Linked DNA regions of Tamandua tetradactyla. The protein of the gene in region 1 interacts with the protein of each later gene in a pairwise test. Links are inferred from orthologs where the notes say so. Each region holds a gene or a part of one and is shown in the gene's direction. Other genes may lie near its edges.

Evidence for each region.
Region 2: the proteins of SS18L1 (region 1) and MAPK1IP1L interact in binary tests that used the Homo sapiens proteins (3 or more experiments, as listed by UniProt). The two-hybrid records come from large-scale screens. The link is inferred for Tamandua tetradactyla from reciprocal best matches to the Homo sapiens genes SS18L1 and MAPK1IP1L.
Region 3: the proteins of SS18L1 (region 1) and RFX6 interact in binary tests that used the Homo sapiens proteins (3 or more experiments, as listed by UniProt). The two-hybrid records come from large-scale screens. The link is inferred for Tamandua tetradactyla from reciprocal best matches to the Homo sapiens genes SS18L1 and RFX6.

Annotation. Positions count from the first base shown.
Region 1 is NC_135327.1:59,721,297-59,728,836, forward strand, and holds the start of SS18L1 (calcium-responsive transactivator), read left to right. Parts: upstream 1-4,518; 5' UTR 4,519-4,649; coding exon 4,650-4,718; intron 4,719-4,882; exon of another isoform or gene 4,883-4,939; intron 4,940-5,064; exon of another isoform or gene 5,065-7,540. Other genes in the region: PSMA7 (proteasome subunit alpha type-7), read right to left, coding at 366-490, 1,370-1,496, 3,948-4,043. UniProt on the Homo sapiens protein: Transcriptional activator which is required for calcium-dependent dendritic growth and branching in cortical neurons. Recruits CREB-binding protein (CREBBP) to nuclear bodies.
Region 2 is NC_135338.1:11,053,404-11,061,104, reverse strand, and holds the start of MAPK1IP1L (MAPK-interacting and spindle-stabilizing protein-like), read left to right. Parts: upstream 1-4,693; 5' UTR 4,694-4,861; intron 4,862-5,179; exon of another isoform or gene 5,180-7,701.
Region 3 is NC_135331.1:177,780,470-177,787,417, forward strand, and holds the start of RFX6 (DNA-binding protein RFX6), read left to right. Parts: upstream 1-3,940; coding exon 3,941-4,163; intron 4,164-4,456; coding exon 4,457-4,613; intron 4,614-6,948. UniProt on the Homo sapiens protein: Transcription factor required to direct islet cell differentiation during endocrine pancreas development. Specifically required for the differentiation of 4 of the 5 islet cell types and for the production of insulin.

The DNA of each region.
Region 1 (7,540 bases):
TAATGAAGGACAGATGTTCCCTATCTGGTTACAATGGTTTTAGGGACCAACTGCATATTACCACAGAATGAAGGGGCTTCTAGTCCCCTCCCAAGTGCTTGGTTGTCAGCCATACAGAATGGCAAGGCAAAAGCAAAAACTATTATTTTCCTTCAGAAACACAGATTGTGACTGCCCCATACCACTAAAATAACAAAGATGCCACAGAAGACTAGGTTATAGTAAATTCTAGGTGTACAATGAAAGAACAGAACCAAACCCTGGGACAAACGCAGTCTTGTTTTCTTACACACGTAAACATCTCATGAAGTAACGTGGGACCCTTTCCATGAAAGGAAGCTGCACTGAGGCAGGTTGGCACCTACCTGCTTCAGGCTGGCAATATAGCGGGTGATATACTCCACCGTGACTGGGTCCTCCACGGTTAGCCGGTGGCTCTGGCACTCAACCCGTGCCCTGTTGATTACTATCCTGGCGTCGGCGGTGAGCCCTGCCATGACAGGGAAGCAGGGTTTCCATCCTTGCCACACACCACCCGCTCCCGTGATACAGATGACACAAGCAGGATAGCAATTAACCTTTGGCAAAGATGCCAAAACCTGCCTCTGAAACCCACGGGGTCCTGTGGAGTAGCCAACAGCAGAGAAATCTGGGCATATAAAAACAAGGGTGGAGCAGACCCCATTTAGACACACTAGCTGAGCCCTCTTAAGAATCCTTTGAAAGACAAACTAATCCCTAATTTGGTTTACATGAACTGGAACCCCCCTAAAATGGATCTGCTCAGGATGAAATAAGTTAATCCACACCAAGTGCTTAGAACATTCCAGCACAGGGCAAATGGTCAATGCATACCATCCTGCTGCTGCTGCTCATAATGGCAGGACACCATCCTCTCCATTTGACCCTTTAATAGGAGCATTCTTCGCTCTAGAAAGCCTGACCCTTCTCTTGAGCATAACTAAATGGAATGGGAAAATCACAGTGAAGTGCTAAAAATAAACAGTGATTGTGACAGCCCAGCAGCTATGCTCTGTTATTTATTTAGTGACTTGTGCTTTAGCCACTTGAGAGAGGGGCCCAAAGAAATTCTGGCCAGCTCTTTTTACAGTTCCAAATAATTTCTTTTCTTTTTTATTCAGGGCCGGGGGGGAGGCAGTGGGGATGCCTGGTCCAGGAATTGAACCCAAGTCTCCTGCATGGAAAGTGAGCATTCTTCCACGTAACCATCCGTGTACCCTCCAAATAATTTCTTTTAAATGTTTTCAGCTTCCCCCGTCTTGTAATAACCCATCCACCCAAGCTGGACTCCACTGCTCTGCTCTGTGCTAGGACTCTAAGAAGCAGAATACTGTTCCCAGACACATACCTGCAAATGCCATGCAGACGTTGTCATCTAGCGCACAGATCTTCCGCACCGTTCTCTCATCCTGCAGTTTGGCCACTGATTTCTTCTCCACACCAAGAACAACGATATCTTTTCCTCGAACACCAACCTTCAATGAGAGCCAACACACCACTTAAGAAAGCAACATAAGGCTCTGCCCCTACACAAAGAAACACTAAGAGCAGAAGACATTAACATAGATCACAGACATCCTGGGGAAAGCAGCCCCAGAAGGTGGGGGAGCACCTCCCTCCTCCATTGGCTGACATTACACCCCAAATGTCACTGGTGGAACCAGCACAGGTATCCTGACCTAAAGTGCCTGATGCTGTCTGTGCCTTTAAAAGACCATTATGTAGTTCCAATGGCAGCATAACTAACTAAGCACCATATAATCTGTAACCCTGTATCATTTCACACTAATGAACCAGCAAAGCAGAGGGCCTTTAAGCCCCAGACCCAGATATTCAAGCCAGGTATTCTGGAAGCGGTGTTTTCTGGAGCTGTGGAGTTATTCCCCCACCCCTCTTTTCTGTGCCTGAATAGCCAAGGCACACAGCTGTGTGAGGGGCCGCTTTTCATGGAGGGATGACTGTATCAGCATTTACTGGGAGGTCAAACTCTCCCCTTTCACAGCTGACACTTTAGAGGAGACAATTGGTGTGGCCATTATTAAAAAAACAAAAAAACACCGATGGCCAGTTAACCCCTCCAGTCAAGACAGGAACAGACATGTATGGCACAGTTGGAGAAGTAAAATCCCCTCTTACTTCAGAGCATGGAGCATGGTCTCTCAGCCTCTGCAGGATGGGCATTTTAGGGCATGTAATTCTCAGTTGTGGGGCGTCCTGGGCACTGTGGGATGTCTAGCAGCACCCCTGGCTGCCACCCACAAGATGTCAGGAGCACCCCCCTCCTGAGACCTGACCACCAAAAACGTCTCCAAACGCTGCCAAATAACCTCTGCCTAAATCGCCACTGACTGAAAATGTGTTTGAGTTTCCAAGGGCTTTCTCTTGTTCTGTCTTACATGATCTTCAAAGTAATGGTGAGGGAAAGAAGCCCAGGCCCAGAGAGCTCGGTGGGTTAAGCAAAGCCACAGCTTTCACACATAGTTCTGTGAATTTTTGAAGTGTTTTCATTTCTTGAATTTTTGGTTGTCTTGAAACTCAGGCTCCAGGTCTATCTGCTGGCCTAACTCAACTTATACAGCACTGGGAGAGGAGTCGGCTGTCCCGCCCCCCATCCCCACTCCCCTTGCTGCCCCAGCAGCCAGCTGTGGCTTTGCTTGACCCACTGAAACCCCTCAAATACCAGGTGATTAAAAAAAAAAAATCTATCATGCAATCTGACCAATGAGAAAACAGACAACTATCTCAAAGACACCATGGGTGTAAACTGCAAACAGCAACACCAAGGGTACCCAACATGCGCGATAGTTCTGGCAAGAGGTACCTGCTCAGATATGAAGTGACAAGGGGTTGGATCACTGCTGAGCCTCGGACCCAGGACAGCCTGCCCTGCCACCTATGAGGACCACTGCCTCCCTCTCCTTTCCCCCGGGTGGGGAAAGACCTGTAACACTCCCCAGCTCTCTTGTTGCTCCGCCGTGCATCAGCACCCACACATACCATCCCTGCACCCCAGGTTCCCTCGGCCTGCAGAGTGCAAAGGTGAAGGCCCAAGATGGCCGTCACCGCGTCACCTCGCCGCGCTAGGGACAGTGCACCCTGACAACCAAAGATGCTAAAGAGAGACGAGAGTGACTTTGAATCCTGCACTTCTCTCGGGGACCTCTGCGGTTTCTGAAAACCACTAGTAAACATCTACAGTTTATGACCTTCAAATTAAAATTCAACGGCCCACCTTGCCGCCCCAAGCCCAAACTATAGGGAATAAACGGCCCCACACAGTGCGCGTGTTCTGCTTTTCTGTGCAAACAGAAGAAAGCGACACCGACACTTCCCCAGCGGGACAGCAGGTCACGAGGACTTCCCCAGTTTGTCTAAGGACACCGACGCCGCCGTGCCTTCCCCGGGCGCTCCGCTGATGTCACTGCGCTGACTTTAAGAGGCAATTTACCAAGAGGCTGCTCCCTAGGCGAAGGCGAGGCGGTCGACAGAGCGACTCGAGCGACGCATGCCGGGGCCCACTGAGAACACACGCTCTGCGGCCAGGGGGAAGGCGGCTCGGGGCTGGGCCGCTCGCCCGCGCCCCCGGCACTACCACAGGTCCTGCTCGGACACGCGCAGCCGGCGCCCCAAGCCTGGGCTCCGAGACACTGCGCCGCAAACGGCAACACGGAACCGCGGGCCACAGCACGGAAACGCGCGGGAACACAGCAGCCCTGGCGGCGGGGTCCAGGGCGCCCACCCCCGGGCATGACCCCAGGTCCCCCGGCCTCCCTGCTTGTTCCGGGGCGCGCACCTTCCCGACGACGACCCAGGGGCAGCCCGGCCCTCCCCGCCGCCGGCCAGCCAGCTCCACTTCCGCCCGGATCCCCGGCCTCGCGCAAGGCCCGGACCCGGGCTCCCGCCAACCCCGCCGGGTGCCGCCTCACCGCGGTCGAGCCCTTCTTGACGGCTTCCTGAGCGTACTCCACTTGGAAGAGGTGGCCGTCGGGCGAGAAGACGGTGATGGCGCGGTCGTAGCTCATGGCCGGAGGCGCGGCCGCAGCCTGGCTGACGGAGAGCTGTGGCCGCCACCGCCTCAAAAGCGCACACTCATCGCTGCGCACCGCGCGATTCCCGACGCCACTGCGCCGCCGCCGCCGCCGGCCCCCTCGCGGCCTACGCTGCTCTACGCTGGGGGCGCCCTACGCTGCTCGCGTCTTACGCTGCTAGTGCTGTACGCGGCTGGCACCTTACGCTACTGGCGCCGTACGCTGCTTTACACGGCCGGCACCCTACGCTGCTGGCGTAAGGCGGCGTGCGGCGCGCTCCCGCGCCGGGGTCGGAACAAACCACTGCGGCCCGGCCGGGGGTGGGGCAGTCAGTGACGGTGGTGGGGGCGAGGCGTGCTGGGCTGTTGTTGGGGATCGCACCGCGGGGCTCGGGCTCTGCCGTAGCCGGCGCGAGGGCCCGCGGGCCGGAGGGCCGGAGGGTGCGGAGGCGGCGTCGGGGTGGGCGAGCCCACGATGCGGCACCCCCCGCGCCCTCCCCTCCGCCCCCCCACCGACTGCGGAGAATGAGAGCCCTCGGCCGCGGAGCGCAGCCGGAGAATAAGCCCCTCATGATTAAGGCCTGAGCCCCGCGCCGTCGACATGTCCGTGGCTTTCGCGTCCGCCCGGCCGAGGGGGAAAGGGGAGGTCACACAGCAGACCATCCAGAAGGTGGGCGTGGGGCGCCCCGCAGGTGCTGGCGAGTGCGCACGAGTGCCGGGACGCGGGAGGGCGGCGGGAACAAAGCGCGGTGTGCAGCCGGGCCGCCGGGGGCACCGAGCCGTGCCCTCAGGGGCGCTTCCGGAGCCGCGCGCGCCGAGCCCGGGCCAACTTTGTTGGGGGCTGTCCGAGTGGCAGGGGCCCGAGCGACCGGCGGGGGATGCCTGGGTTGGGTGAGAGGCTGTGGGTTCCCCGCCGCCCCTCGGGGCCCCGGGGCGCGGGCTCGTCTAGTTACGCTGCCAGCCTGGATGGCGAGGACGGCGGCGGGCGCCACTCTCCGCGGCGCACACCTCAGCGGGCAGGGCGGGGACAACCCCGGGTGGTCGCGCCCCGCCCGCCTCCTCCAGGTGCCGACCCTTGGATCACCCAGGGGTGGGTCCCCCGTGAGGCCGGGCCGCCCCAGGGGCTCGATGGCTGACCCGCGAGTCGCCGGCTCTTCGTCGCAGGTCGGGCTGATTTTCAGCGCGACACCCGGGCCAGCAGCCACTCTCGCCACAGAAATGTTCAGATCTGCTTCGCATCGTTTCCCTTCTCTCTGAGTTTGGTAATGTGGTTTCTGGAGCTAGCATCACCTGCATTGGGGGACACCTTTCACCAGCACTTTGTCAACAGAAACCTTCAGTTTTGACGGTGAAACGTTGCATGTCCTACCATTTCTCTTTAGAAGGCAGGTTTAGCGGAAAACCACCGTTGAGCATTCCTGAATTTTCCTAACGTCTTGGGTAGCTTCGCTGACTTCTTTTCCACACTGTGGCTCTGTCTTCCCTGGACGATCTGCCCAGTCCTTTGAGGAAATTGTCCTTAACCTGTCACCTGCTAGGGTTCACCTTGCTCTGGTTGGTGCTGGTGTTTAATGGTTTTCCTCTTTTTTTTTTTTTTGACCTGGGTAGGCACCGGGAATCGAACCCGGGTCTCCAGCGTGACAGGTGAGAATTCTGCCCTTGAGCCACTGTCCCATGGCCCTTAATGGTTTTAATAAAGAGTCTCAACCCACTCTGAACAAGAAACAGCTGACTGGAGCAGCAGCAGAGAATTGGGTTTAGTTAAATTGTGTACCCAGTTATTGTCATAAGAGTGGTCAATCTTAACTCATTTAATTTGCAGAGGGGGGTAGTCGCTGTTACCCCAATTTATAGATGAGGAATCTGAGGCAGAGAGAGGTTAAGTGGAGCTGGGAGTTGGTTCCAAGGTCTGCTCTGACAGTGACAATGTGTCTGGCAGAGGGTCAGGCACTGGCCTCAAGGCCCTGCTAGCAGACCAGGGGCCCTTGCTTGGGCCTTAAGTGTGATGAGCTTGATCCTTATTCCTGAAGCCACCTTGGGCTCACAATCACCCAATTATTTGCACGTTGCCAAGCCAGCACTAAAGCTCTCCAAAATTTCTAGGCAGGAGTGCATTATGCAGCTATCCCTAAATGTGGTTTGATCAGAAGGAAGGAAAACCTGCTGACCCTGCATCCCAGGGCAGAGATAGCCTGCTACTTGTTGAAAATGGGTCTTCAGTTCGGGCTTCCAGCAGGCCTTACCTGGTAGGGCCAGCAGTCTATATCCTCACACCTTGGCATTTTGACAGTAAATATATGTACTCAGGTCTTTTATTGGGGGCATGTGGCAGGTGCATAGTATATACTGATGTGTGCTGTGTACACAGCATGTGCTAGAAACTCATCCCAAGGGTGTTGGGAAAAGCCAGGGGTTCCTCAGAAACCTGTGTGATGATAAAGAGGCAGGGAAATACAACTTGTTCTTAGAGCTTATCTGAGAAAGAATTCTTCTGGGCAAACTTCTACTCAATCTTCAAAGCCCCACTCACATATCCCCTCAGTCGTATGTCAGTGTATGTGGTCAATATAGGTCTTTCACACCTTGCTTAGGCTCCCAGGCAAGTTTACTGAGTTATTCTTTGCTGTACTCCCAGCCTGGCCTGGCACTTGGACAGTCAATGTCAGAATATACAGAATCTCTGACTGTGGTTCTGCCAGTGGGAGTATTTGGGGATTGATGGACATGTGGAGGGGAAGGTATTCCAGATGAGAATAACCAAAGGAGCAGACATGGGAGGTCTAGAAGTTTGAGGGAGTCTTGTGTGGCCCCATATGCGGCCAAGCACGTGGTTAAGTACAGGAGTGAGATGCAGTGCACTTTGATGAGAAACACCAAATCACAGAGGACCCCACTTTCCAGGGACACTCCACTGTCCCCTGTACCTGAGTGACTGACTCCCTGGCCAAGACCTGCCCTCCTTTGCTTTCCACCAACTCAGAACCCAAGTATCCCTGCTCTGAGGCCCCTGATGCCATGGTTATGTGGGGTTGTGAAAAGGCTTGGGTACCTGGAGGGGAGGGGGCCTGGATCTCATTGGGTTTGCAAGGTGCTTCCTGCCCCCAGGCACACGGGAACTTCTCAGTGTAAGTTATCATTACTGTTCATGGTGCAGTGGGGAGATACAGAGCAGCAGCTCTCTGGAGAACAGGGCAGAGCTGATGAGCTGGGCCAACTTGTGGTATGGGCCTGGTAGAGGGATGTGAAGCTGGAGAGGCCTGGGGCCTGGGAGCCCAGTCGGGGAGTGGTTGAACTCAGACTAGCCCTGCTCCAATGGCTCCCATTCCCGGTGAGGGATGCAAGGGTAAGAGATGGCCATCTGGCCAAGGGATGGGTAAGTAAGTGATGGGTGGATGTGTCTAGGCACGGGGTGCGTGTCTGCACAGTGGTTGGTACCTTGTGCTCTCTAGACCAGGAGTCTGCTGTCTTAAAGAACGTGGGCTAATTTGTTAG
Region 2 (7,701 bases), on another chromosome or scaffold:
ATTATAGTTTTTATCAGGATTTGATAATAAGACTTTCTGTTTCTGTGAAACAATTATAATTTTAAGTATTTTTCTTTTAAACATAACTTTTTATTAGTACAGAAAAACCTAAAGGAAGACTAGCTAACAAATATTCTGTTAAAGGGTAGTTTTATAAAGAAAAATGAAATATAATTATGTTGTTTTTATAATAGTAAAAAATAGTGTTTGTATGAAAGTCAAGATCTAAGTAGCTTTTCATATAATTCAAACTAGTTGCTAGTGATATATTTTCTCTTGGTATTCTTATTTTTCCAACCTCAACGTATTAGCAGCTGTTAACATTTTTAAAATACTGCCATAATTATAACCTTAAAGTAGTTGACCTAATAAGTGAGAGCAGGGAAGAGAATATTTACAGAATATTTACTCTGAAATGATTTGCATTTTACCTTTGGTATCTGCTACAGTGAAAAGAAATTTGAAAAGTAGAAATATCAATACTTGAGAAGGGAATTGTTTATCATGAAGGGAAAGGGAAAAAGTAACAATAAATTAATGTTTTAAAACAGTGTAAGGAACTGGAATTTAGAAAGGTTAACCCTTTCTCTGCGACTTTGTGAGGAAATATTTGGAAAGCATAACTCATTTTAAAATGTTAAAAAAAAGTATTGAGAGATAACTAAAATGGCTAAGTTTTGAGAAGATGTGAAGACATACAAATTTATCTAAATATAAATTTTGTAAATCATTAAGTTGAACATGGCAAACATTTGAAAAGTGTAAAATCCAGTGTTGAGAAAACATTCAGCATGGTGGAAATCTGTAGTACTTATTGGCAAGAGAGGATTGTGCTAAAAGAAACAGGATAAAATATTAAAATTAAAAATTTAAGCATTACCTCAGGGAAAAGCCTTGACAGTGAAAGGAAACTGCTTAATCACTAACAGCTAGTCTGGACCAGACACTTAACTGCACTTTGGGAATAATACTGCACTAATCAGGAAATAAACTTGACTTTTCTATTTCTCTCTGAAGCTTTTCAGGACATCCTCTCTCCACCACCACCACCACCACTTTTTTTTTTTTAAAGCTACAGCATCTTTGATTCATACTATAATTCCTGAAATACATTAAATGGATTTCTTTAGGTTCCTTGTGTTTTTTGTATGAAGAGTAATGTGCTCTTTCTATAACCATGCCATTCACTTAAATAATTCATAGAGGGAAAGCTTTAATTTAAAGGAAGACCCAATAGGAAGAAGATTAAAGGAAGCTTTTAGTCAGCTTGTGGCTAGATTTATTGATTTGATCAAACCTGTGTTCTTTCTTGAATTTCATCTAATGGCCAACTGTGGTCAAAAAGTTGCTTTCAGTTAAAGTTTTGACATAAATAATATAAAGAATGTCTTAGAAATTGGAAATCCTTTAAAAAGTAGAACAAATGTGGTAAGTAGGGCTCACATTATTGAACAAATACCATTTATTTTTATAAGAAAAACACAGACAAATTATTTATTCATGAGACAAAGCCATTAAGATAAATCAAGTTATCAGCTTCCTGTTTCTCTTCAGTTTGGATCATTTTATCGATCCACATAATAGAGAGCTTCCTTCCTATGTAACAAAAACCTTAAGACCTAACTCTTATAAATACACTCATTTGCATTTAAAAAATGGAGTTTTGTCACTTTTAGTTATAAATCAGAGTCCAATAAACAGCTTATATATTGATTTTGGTGGAGCAGATGTCTCAGGAAAGTATACTTTTAAGTATACTTTAAAATTATTCCTGGAGGGCGGGCGATGGTGGCTCGAGCCTCGCCTGCCCTGCTGGAGATCCGGGTTCGATTTCCGGTGCCTGCCCATGAAAAAAAAAAAGATTCCTGGAGACAAGGAAAAAATTCTAATGTAAAATAGTCTGTAGCATTAGGTAACTTAATGCCAAAATGAGTTAAAGATTTTGAGTCAAGTAAATAATTGTTTCTACTTTGGGGGGAAAAAAACTTAACAATTTTTGTTTTAACAATCAATTGTACACTCATTTTTTAATTTCTAAAAAAAGAACCAAAAGCACAAAGGGTTTTTCTTTTGTTCAATGGCCTAGTAGAAAAACTGAGCAGTGCTGCAAGAGTCTATCTATACTACTTTAATTCATTAAGATACTAGACACAAAATGGACATAAATTTTAAAAATAGATTGGCTTTTAATTAGAAATGTAGACTGATGGATATAACCCAATGGAAAGGGATTTAGGGCATATGAATTCTTTTCTAAATAAAGCCAAAGTCTATCTTTGATTTACTTTAGACTTTTGAGTAGATTATTCAGTCCTAAATCTTTCTTTGCCTTCATTTCCTTATATAGAAAATGTAGGTAATAATACTTGTCACTTGGCTTTCTATAGGTTAATTCTAAAGTTAAGAAGTGGCCCTTGGGGCATACTTGAAAATAAGTACAGCTTTTAAGTAGTAATGTAATGATTTTCAAAGTATCCCTTTAATAGACCCTGCAGAATCACAGTCACATCTTTTAGTTTGTAATAACCTTTCCTGGCTTGCTTTGACAATAGAGGTAACTCCAGATTTGAATTCACTGTTTGGACTCTGCAATTAGATGAACAATTGTAATTTCCTCCTACACTTTAGAAGGCCTATGTAAAATTGATGTTTGCCTAACTTATTTTAAAATTGATTACATTTGCAGGAAATAAAGATAATCATTTTTGCCATACATGTAGTCAAATTTAAGCTTTCAGACTTGAGAGACATGGTGTAAAACTCAGAGGTTTACTCAAAGAATACTGTCTTTACCAGAATTGGATAAACTCTATAAGCCAAGTATGAATTTGATATCTACTTGAATGTACAAAGCTTAAGTAGTAACTTCACAAAACTATTAGTACTCTTGTCAATCAGGCTTGTATGATTTATTCTCCACCCCTTCCTCCCCAAAAGTAAACTATTTTCATTTTTATTTCTAATCCTGGAGTTGAATGTTTCTTCTTGGCTGTGACTTTAAATAAATTGATCTGAATAAATTCTCATTTCTTCTTAATTAAAACAATATATGAAATCCAAAGGCTTTGTATTTTGTTTTTAAAACATTGTATGGCCTCTCATGTTCAACTTAGAATATGTAAAAAAAAATTTAAAACTCTGTAGTCTCACAAATTTTCTAATTTACAATACACTCCTTTTAGTTTTTCATGTGTCAGTTTGGGTCTTCCAAGAAGAGATGCCAAGATGCGATTAAATGCACAACAGACTTATTGAGGGAAACACCCATGAAGGATAAAGGGGGAGGAAATAGGAGAAGGTGGGGAAGTCTAAAGACAACATTGCAAATCTGACACCTGTAAAAGGAAAACTGGAAGGAAAGATTGGGTAGAGTGGGCTTCAGACTGCAGTGCAATTCTGAATATTCAGAACCATATGGGGAGTTAGTTTCCAAACAAACTTTGCCCGTAGAAAATCCAACATAGAACAAGAATCGCCTGGCTCTAGAACCCCAACCCTGCTCAGTTATTGAATGGAAACAGCAGGAAAAATCTGGAGGCTGTCAGTCATTCTAATAGAGGCCACAACTAGGGTGAGGTTTTAAAAAAATATTCTGTGGAACAAAATATCAACATTTTAGATAAATGCAGAATCTGGATTACTGATATTTCCTTCTGCTTCAGGCTTCAGTAGGGCTCTGCAAAGCACTGCTGGTCAACTGCCTTTTATAAGTCAGGGTTGGTTTATCCACACTAGTGGTGTGATTGTCAATAGACCAGAGCCCTGTACTCCTATCCAAAGTTATGTCTTTCCAAGACTTAGGTATCTGATGTTCTATTGCTCATTTCTGTATGAGAAGTATATGCTGCGAGCACACCCAAAGCTAAGTCTTCATCTAGGTAGTTCATAGTCAATGACCGGCCACTGACCCACAAACGCCTTACACAAGCAAAATAATGTAGTGTACAGCATACTTTTAACAACTAGCTTCAACTATTTTTTGCACACCGTGTAATTATCACATCTTTATTACTAGCCTGTGGCTCACTGACGGCTGGGACTATGTCATTTATCTTTTGGGCCTCACACGGAGTAGGTGCTTAACGGTTATTCAAAAATGAACATGTGCGGAGAAGAGGCATTGCTCAGGAAAAATGCGAAGAGAGAGCTGTTCCTTTAGTTAATGGCAATTTATCAAGCCATTTGTAAATGTGTAAATGTTTTTCCTTTCCTGCATTGTTCATTCAACTCCAATTTTGGCTTATGGGTGTCTAATGTCTGAGTCCTTTGCTAGGCGCAAACTGGCCACATACACACACACACACACACACACACACACACACAGCAAACTGGCCACATACATACACACACACACACACACACACACAGCCTCCTTCGAGGCCCGGTTGTAAAAACTGCTGCGCTTAGGGGTGCAGAATAGGGCCTGGCCTCAAGCCGCCACTCAAGGCAACAAGTTGTCAATTTCCCCTGAACTTCACCGGCCACAGGCGTTTCTTCCTAGTCCTAGGAACTTTGGAAAACATGGGAGTTTTCCACCCGCCGACTAAGAAGAGCCGCACCGCCCAGCCGGGACCGGATGCAGTGCTGCCCGGGGCCTGCAGGGAGCGCGCCGGACCAGCCGCGAGGGGAGGGGCGGGAGCGCGCGGGGGAGGCACGCTAGGCGCTTCCTGTTCCGGCGCCAGGAGGAGCCGCGCGCTGCCGTCGCTGCTGCCGCCGTCGCTGCCTCTGCCGCCGCTGCCTCTGCCGCTGCTGCTGCCGCTTCTGCCGCCGCCGCCCGTCAGGTTGCGTTTGGTTCGTCAGCCTTCAGTTCCTTCGTACCCATCGCCGCTTCTAGACCTTGCTACGGATTGGATCTTGCCGGGTGAGGCTGCTGTGGCGCTGGTGGGAGTCGCGGAGCGGGCCCGGAAAGATTACGTTGAAGGGCTGGAGGGCGGGCTCAGTAACGGCGGTGCCTCGAGTCTCCTCCGGTGCTTGGGCCGTGCTCACCTCCCTGGGAGGTGAGCGTTTCTCTCGGTCACCTCCTTGCGGGCCCCAGATTGGCCGCCACCACCCCCCATCGCCCACCCAAGGAGAAGGCGTCCGAGGCATCCAAGGCGGTGACGTCACGCCCGGCGGGTTTCTCGGCGCTTGACGTCAGGCCGGGTGGGGGCGGGGCCTACTCCCCTCCCCCACCCGCCGGGGCGGGCGCGACCCGCTCGGAGGCCGGTTCGCTCCGGTTGGTCCCGCATTCCCTTTGTTTCTTCGGCCCCGGAGGACTGTAGGCCTCGCGCCCCTTGGCGCAGACCCCCCGCCCCTGCTGATTAATTTCTGATAAAAAGGGAGGAAGCCCTGAATTAGATACTTAGAGGAGTCTGATGCTTTTTTGAGGTGATTGTCAGGGTGACAGCGTTTTGATTATTCTCTAGACGAGTTGGGGACAATGCGTTCAATTTTGGATACCCGTGACAGGAAATACGAGACGTGCCGAGTTCTGTAATGCTTTCTTTTCTTTTTTTTGGATCTTGGGGTATATATTAGGTATTGCGGTTCATAAATAGCTTAATCTTTTTTCTCTATACTTTAGAAACCAACAATAGTGCTTTTAATAAAGATTCTGACGTTGACCCGTCCGTCCAGGCCCACTTGACTGGAAATTATTTTTTATAGCATTACTATTAGAGAAATACACATTTGTGCACCTAGTAGTTGTACAGGCCTGTTTTGAAAACAGAGCCTTATTGCAGGTGGACTGTTACCTCAGAAATAGTTCAGAAGTGTTTTGGAGGAAGGGAAAATACAGATTTTCGTTGATACTGGTGTCTCGGATCCCCCTATTCAAAACTAATTTGCCCCCAGAAACTTTTGAATTGAGATGCATAGATGGGACTGTTTCTGACATCTCTCCTGGAGAAACGGATGATAGCTGTCCCTAGTTTTCTATCTGAAACCCTTGGGGCCAGTGTGTTTTGGAATTTAGAAATCTTTGGATTTTTCCTTTAGATTTTAGAAATACAGTCTGGTGCTTAAACAGCTGATAATACCCCCCGTCCCCCGCGTGAGTCGCAGCACCCAAACATCCAACTTTTATTTGTGGAGGTGTGAATATCCACTCATTTAAGTGGGAATTAATAGGAACTACAAATAGCCTCAGTTCAGGTTTTGCCTCCAAGTAAGTTTTGTGCGAAAATTGGCACAGTTTCTTTTGTTTTCAAAGGTTTGGAGATTGAAAGATAAGAACCCTGTAATAGTAATTATAAAAGCTAGTATTTGTTGAATTTTTGCTATGTGCCAGACGAGTCAGAGATTTACTTATTGTATAAGTCTTCCAGCTCCTCTGTGAGGTAGATACTGTTCGTATTTTCTTTTTAACCTGTGGGGTTTGGACAGTTTCATTTGTCCAAGGTTCAGAGCCAGCCAGTGAAGAGCTGCACTTTGAGCCTAGGCGGGTATTCTTTCAGTATTCATTTTTTTAACCAAATGCTCATCTGCCCATTTACAAATGAAGGTAAGAGAATTTGGTATTCGTGGCCCACCCATTTTTTCCAGGTACATAGTAGATATTTGACATGTCACGCTTAATCTCTCACAACATTATTAATATATTCTTCAGAGTTGAAGAAGCAGATTCATTCAGATGAGTTGACTCTTAAGTGACCAAAGAGGAGTCACATCCTGATCTAAGGTCTCCTGTCTGCTAAGAGTTTCAGATCCCTTCTCTCCTTTGCTATATTCCGACCAATCTGAGCTGTTTGTACTTCCCCACAGCTGCCTTCTTGCCTCTCTCCCATCTTTTGAAAGAAATTGCCCTCTTTTCCTTAGAATTTGCCCCTAGATCTATCCTCATTTTTCTTCTAGACTGTGAAGGCACCGCTCCTCAGGAGTCCTTCCTGACATCCCCTTTCTTGATTCCTTTAGGGTCCTCTTGGAGGTAGTCCCATAGCACCCTGTGCTTAGGTAATGTAGCTGCGTTTTATGGTAGCATTAAGCCTTTGCTTCATGTAATACTAATTTTAGAGCCCAACACCATGACTAGCCCATATAGCTCCATACATATCTGAATATATGTATTACGTATATCTAACATAAGATTACTGAAAGATTGAATTTTTGAAATTACACGTTTTAAAGTAAATTTGAATGTGCAGAACATCTCAAAACCCCAATTTCTTGAGTTTCCAAAAGTCAGAAACAGAACATAGCTAATAAATGAACTAGTTTGAAAAGTATCATATATTCTACCTCAAAATTTGTAATTTTCAAAACAATACATTGCCATCACCCTCCCCCAATACTAAACAAATCAACATGAAAATCCTATCCAGCTTCCTTTAGTTTCTCTTAATATCTTATATGAGTATAGCACTTTATAAATCAAGTGTTACTGTAATTATCTGTGAGGTAGTTGGGGATAATTGTAACAGATGAGGAGATGGTTTCTGGTTTAGAAGTTCATAGAAATGTTATGCTTTACTTTTCTAGTGTATGTCAAAAGAAATGTGTTCTTGTAAAATTACTATTGCTGCTCATTTTCTTGGATGATGTATAGATCCTTTCGTAAGTAGTGATGGAAAATTTTCCAAGCATTGCGTTTAGGTTTTTCCAAAGGAAAGAGAAGTGAAAACCTTTTATTATTATAACTTTTTGATGGCATTCAATGTTACATTGTCCTCATTTTAATAAGTAGTATAATTCATATATTTTGGTTGAAATCTAGGTATTTTT
Region 3 (6,948 bases), on another chromosome or scaffold:
GCATTTGCAACTATAAATTTCCTTCTGAGCACTGCTTTCATTGCATCCCATAAAGTTTGGTATATTGTATTTTCACTTTCATTCATCTCAAAGTAGTTTCTCATTTCTCTTGTGATTTCTTCTTTGACCCATTGGTAGTCTAATATTGTACTCTTCTATTTCAACATATTTGTTAGTTTTCCAAATTTCCTTCTGATATTGAAATCTAATTTCATTCCATTGTGATCGTAGAACACACTTTGTATGAAATTAATCTTTTAATGTTTATTGAGGCCTATTTTTTTGGCTTAATATATGATATATCCTGAAAAATGTTCCATATATTCTTGAAAAGAATATATATTCTGCTTTTGTTATTTGGAGTGTTCGTTGGTGTCCATTAAATAACTTATAAATCTTCTATTTCCTTTTTATCTCTATTCAGTTGTTCTATCCATTATTGAAAGTGGGGTGTTGAAGTTTCCAACTATTATTGTTGAACTGTCTAATTCTCCCTTCCATTCTGTCAGTATTTGCTTTGTGTATTTTGGAGTTCTGTTGTTAGCTATATAACCCAAATTTACTTTTATTTGAAAGTAGCAACAACATGAAAATTATTAAAATAAGGCAGACTATGAAGTTCTTTCTATAATAGCAAAGTTCATTTGGTAGATAAAAATAAAATTAGGGGAAGCATGAACTTTCATGGTAGAAAATTTCATAGTATATGATTCCTCCAGACCATACCAATTCCAGGCATAGTGCAGACAAGGAGAAAGATGTTTCTCAGCAATGAAAGAGTGAAATTTTATTTCTTTGTTTTTGAGAACTAAAAGGGATCTAAAGTTTTGGAGTAAAAATATTGGATATATTTTATTAATGGCTTTCTCTGTCCCAGGTACTATACTAAGTTCTTCTTTGTGATGTTTCATTTAATCCTCATATCATGAATAAGGTGGTGTCTAATATCAACAGAACCTGATCAAGCATTCATGTGTAAGGGTGATGCTTCACGGAAGTGTTCCCAGGGAAATGGGTGAGGGACTAGGCATTGCAGGAACGGAGGGTGAAGAAGCCAAGCAAGGATGGGATTTCAGGAATGGTCCAGTGGAGGATGGATTCAGCCTGAACCCACAGAAGAACTCTAGATTGTAAATGATGCCCCAGATTTTCATTGTGAAGACAAAGAGCCTGGCTTTCAATTCCTCCGAATCATCAGTCATTGACTAAGGGTTGCTCAAGGAATATAAACTCCAAGGCCCTTGGACTGTTTCTGCTTATGTGCAAAGGCAGTCTGGTAGCCAAGGGAAGCTCCTCTGAAGGACCTGAGGTGCTCTTAGATGGTGACAGAGGGGTGCTCAGAAGATGAGAGGGATCAAGAGGTATGTCTGGACTGAGCACCCATGAAATCTACTACAGATAGGTACTCTTGTTTCCATTTTAGAGAGAAGGAAAGTTAGGCCAGAAGGCTAAATGTGCAATCACATAAAGAATGAGTGCAAATGTATCTGACTCCAAAGTCCTATTCCTTTCTCCTTATTATGATACTTCTAGTCATGAAGATATTGTCATTTGGGAACTTCCAAGAATTGTCTTTCAGAAATCATTATTCTGTTTTCTTAAAATAGAAACAATTTTGTCAGGGATACTTTACTTAGGATCTGTCAAATCATATGTGAAAATTTGCCTGCTTGAACGTGAGTTTTTCATGTGCCTTTCCAACTCGCCCCCCCACCCCCGGCCCAGGGAAAGAGTCGATGGCTAACACGAATTTCTCAAAGGAAATACAAAACACAAAAGGTTAAGAGCCACAATTTTCAAAGGCCAGTCTCCATATTTACCTACTTTCCTATGTTATGACTTTACTATTCACTATTACTTCTCTAAAATATCGGTTCTCATGAGTTTAAATTTATTAATAATAGATGGAAATTTGGGGTTATGACTTTTTTCCCTCTTCGTTTTTTGCTGCATGTCATAAATTTGTGAAAATTAGCTAAAGCTCTTTTAAATCACTCTTTAAACATTTGGTAAAATTCACAGTAGATTAATCTTATCTGAGGCTTTTATTTTATTTTGTAGTTGAAATCTTTTTATAATTATAAGCCCATTTACATTTTCTATTTCTGAATAGAAGCACAAAGAACTTTACATGCTATTTTGTTAGGCAGATGACTTACTTAAATTAAGGCAAAAAGTTCAGTTGGGGACATAAAGGAACTTGGTTTAAATTTCCATTGACCAATGCAGTTGGATAATTGCCAGATATTCACTTAGTGTCTGTATGGCTTACACATACACACACACAAACACACACAAATACAAACACACAACAACCTGGGTATCAAGTGAACAACATTAAAAAAAAATCCTAGTAATTTGCCTGAACAGAATTTTCCTGCTGTTTATGCCATATAACTGATCATGCAGTTAATCACCAGGCCTGGCTTTACAGAATGAATCTAAAGCTATCTTTTTAGTATTAAATAGCTAACCCCATGTCCTGAGAGAGCTCTCTGGACAGCCTCAGGTATCTGGATGTGTGAATGGGTGGGTGGACCCTGCCAGACCTAACTGCTAGAGTTACCAGGTAAAGGAAAAACTTTTGACAGAGAAATAATGCCTTTCCCAACAAGCGGTGCGGAAAAAAAAAATTGGAGAGGTTCAGATATACCCATAATTTTGGTTGCTTAGGTAACCTTAGCAATGTATTAGAATGTATTTTTAGAATACAGAATGTATCATTCTTCCCCATAATTTACCTTTCAGCCACCCACCACCTTGGATCAGATCCTCTTTTGTTTCTAGTTTAAATTTCATTGTAATCTAGTTTGATACTGAATTTGCATTCAGCGTCTTTCTAATGCTGCAAGAGAGAGGATGAATGACAGGATGAAGTTGTGGTGAGGCAATGTGAACCAAAGCTGGATCCTGGCTTTTCCTGGAGAATGCCCGGCATAGAGTAAGCGCAGGGCTGATTTGTTGAAGAAACAACGAATGGAAGGAAGGAAAGATTGTGTGGCAGTCAGGCAACCCCGGCCCAACTCTACGCACTGCTCCTTCTTAGAGAGAGCATAAGTGATGTTCATGACTCTTGACATTAATTATTTCAATTTCATTTCAACAAATGTTCGTTGCATAATCCCTAGATGGATGAGGCATTTCCAGGGACCCGTTTAAATAACAAAATATTGTAAATGGGGGTAAAGGCATCTTTTCCAACAAGCCCAGGGCCAGAACCCCGAGAGAGGCGAGACTCCGGAGTTTGAGCCCTTGTGTGCCCTGGAAGTGCTCTCCGCGCCCGCGAGCGCTGCTCTGCCGCCCGCACTACGGCTCTAATGTATCCTCGAGCCACTGAAAAGAGCCCTCATCTGTCCCTAGGTTATTCCGAGAATAAGTAAATCCCTGCCACTCAGCGTACAGAGGGAGCGGAACTCTGCACCCTGTTCTGTGCGCACACAGCCACCGCTACCCGTTCGGGAGCATCATTTGCATTTCTCGAGAGTAGCGATGGGGCGAGTTTCAGCTGCGCTTCCCCGGGCAAGAAGAGTAGAACTTTTAGGATAATCTGGCCTTGGGTATGAAAAGTGTCCTCCGGCCGAGCAAGAAAAGAGAGGAGGAAGGAGAGGGTAAGGGTGTGGGGGAAAAGGACTGCATTGCTTGGGCGCGACTGGGGCGCAGGTGAGGAAGTGAGTTCTGAGTTGAGCCGCTGTCGAGACGGCACAGGGGTGGAGAGTGGCAGGCGGTCGCACTCACCCGCTCTGGCTTCAGGGCCATCCGAGCCGTAGCCTTGCCCTGCGATCCTCCTCCGCGACGCACCTGGGCGCAGGAGCCTCCGGCCTCCTCCCCCACCCCAGTGGCCCCAGGTCCCCACCCCCGCCGCGCCCCGCCCCGGGCTCTGGCTCGGGGCTCCGCGGGGAACCGGCTGGCGGCGGCGCAGAGGTCTCCGGTGGCCGGAAGGATGGCCAAGGTCCCGGAGCTGGAAGACGCCTTTCTGCAAGCGCAACCTTCGCCCGGAGTTCCCCGGGAGATGCCGGAGGAGTGTTGTGTGCAGTTACTGGGTAAGGGCTTGCTCGCCTACCCCGAGGAAAGGGTGTACCTGGAGGCTGAAGCGCAGCCGGGGGGCGCGCTGGGCAGCGGGGAGAAGGAGGAAGATCCGGAGCTGCTGGTAGGAGTTAAATCAGGTGAGTGCTTTCACACACACACACCCCCTCCCCGGGGAAGTGATTGGGACGCGAGAGTATTCTAAGCAGGGCATCCAATAATAAACTTATACACAGTGCAGACATACATATAAGCAGAATGTTCTGTCCAGATCTTTATATTTCCCCAGGAAAATGTCAACTAGAGATTGTTACCTATTGGGGATTTTGCATAGCTGCGCCCCTGCCCATGACTGACGCAAAATTATGTGTAAAGGGTACTTGATTGATTTCGTACTCTGCTTTTCTCCATCATCTTTTCGACTGACAATCAGAAATGCATTTAAGCAATGGTAACTTTTCTTCTGAAGAAGAGGATGCAGATAGTCACGACAGCAAAACCAAAGTAGCCGATCAACACCTCTCTCAGAAGAAAACCATCACGCAGATTATGAAGGATAAAAAGAAACAGACTCAGCTGACACTGCAGTGGTAAGATTGTCCCGCGGGGGCACATCTGTGCACCTGTTGCTCTTTAAAAGCCAGTGTCTGCACCTTTGCTTTTCCTAATCTGCTTCTCCCTCGAAGCTTTTGGGGAAGTTAAAAACTCCAGTGAAAAATTCATTCAAAACTTTTTTCTCCTACTAACTTGTATATGTTTGTTTGTATAAAGTCATTCTGGTAACTGATCGAAAATTATCTGTAATAAATACGAACCACATTACTTTATGGTTTTTCTTCATCATGAGAACGTTCATTCAGTTGGTCCTTTCGTTTGTTATTTGGCAGTTATCTCATTCACAAAGCATAATTTGAAAAAAAAATAAAGGGAGAGAGGACCTTTATTTAACTTTATTCATGAGGGCAAATTAAAAATAGTGTATTGATCATAAGATGCATTGTATCTAAACTAGACAGAAAAATCAGCTTAGATATCACTATTAACTAAATAAATGTTGAACTATTTTATAGCACCTGTCACATATGAGCTGTTATAAAGAAATATCATGCATTGGATTTTTAGCAAATCTTTTAAAAACAAGAGATTATCAGTATGCTCTTTCTCTATGTACAGGATATTTTGTAATATTGATCTAAAAGGGAAAAAAGACCTAAAGTAACAACATAATGTAAGGATTTCCCTCATTATGTGAAGAAATAGAGTATACATTTCCTCCCAAATAAATCAACAAATCAATAAAAAGTGTTATTTACTCACTGATGAGTTAAATATTCTGTTTGTATGTCAAATCTGATACGAACTTTAGAAAAAGATAATAGAAAAAAATTGACAAAAACTAGTAAACTTTATTTTTATCTATTTAAACATTGAATTAAAATTTACATGCACTGATTTTTTGTGATTATGTACTTGAACTCTTTGAAATATTTTAAGTATTCCTCTAAAGCTATGGCTTAAATATTGTAGTTGATGTGTTTACTCGCTAAGAATACACTAGAGCTGTAAATAATTGACCCAATCATCTCGAATATTTAGGACAAAACTATTTTTGTTAGGATAACTGGGGCAAAATGTTTTGATTTCAGGTATATTATGGAGGTGTTTTGAATAATCACTCCTTTTTTTATTTCAAATTGAGTAAATGGAAACAATCTTGGGTTTTTATTTTATAAATATTCATACATTAAGTTTAAAGAAAATTATGACAAACTCAAATTTAAAATTTTACTCATGTTTATGATTACTTAGTATTTTTGAAGATAGGCAATGCTTAGAACAATAAGATGTTTTATTAGAAATATATATTTTTTGAAGATGAAAACAATGCCTAGAAAAATATTAATATAGGTGAAAAGTAGGGATTATGTGTATATTATAAAAATGTCATTTTTAAATAACTGAATATTTCCCAAAGTGATTTTCATACTTTTTGAAACTATGAAATGCTGTAATTTTTGCTGTAATTTTCTATACCCTCTCCAAAAAAGTGAGTGTTATACTTGCATCCTTTGAAATTATAAATTGTTTTGGGGATGTTAACAATTAGAACTGCAAACCAGAATGAAAAAATATGGCTGATTAACTCATTTTCACTGTCAAGAAGATGTTTGGTTTTATAAATGCAAATTGATTTTATACTTTAAATCCTTAGGTCTTACTGATTTTTTCCCCAAAGAAGACGAGTACCTGATGTTTTACCTGCCCAGGGAATACTTCCTTTAGCGTTTATCTTATGCACATTGAGAATATATTAAATCAGGAATCTTAAAGGGTGCCGTCATTTTAAATCTGATCGTGTACTCCGTATTATATTGTTTCCATATTATAATTATCATGATTTTACAACACATAAAATGGGCATAAGTAAGTTTTAGCCAGATTCACCTATTGAATTTTTAGAAGATCGAAATAAAATCTAAAGGTTCTGATTTCTAGATTGTTGTTCAGATAATTGTAACACATACACACATATATTTAATGAATTGATTTAAACTGCATTTGCAGAAATCCAGATTAAATATAATTATTTTTCAAATTTAAAATTCATATAATTATATTCATAATGTAAAGTTGAAATTATATGTCCTATTTGAAGGCAACTATAGAGAATTACCTTCTTTTAAGTGTACAGGTTGCCTTAAGTATTATAATAATGATCACAGCAGAAAAGGTAGTGTGATAGAAATAGATCAGTATCATTTCAGACTTGAGTGAAATTATTTTTGTGTATTTTGCAAATAATTACATCAAATTATTTGGGGTTCAGTACTTTTTAGGGAAGAAAAGTAAGGAATGTAGGCTTTTACCAACCTTGGTGTTGAGAATGTTGAGTTCTTTTAAAAAAAAATCATGGGCGGGCCGCGG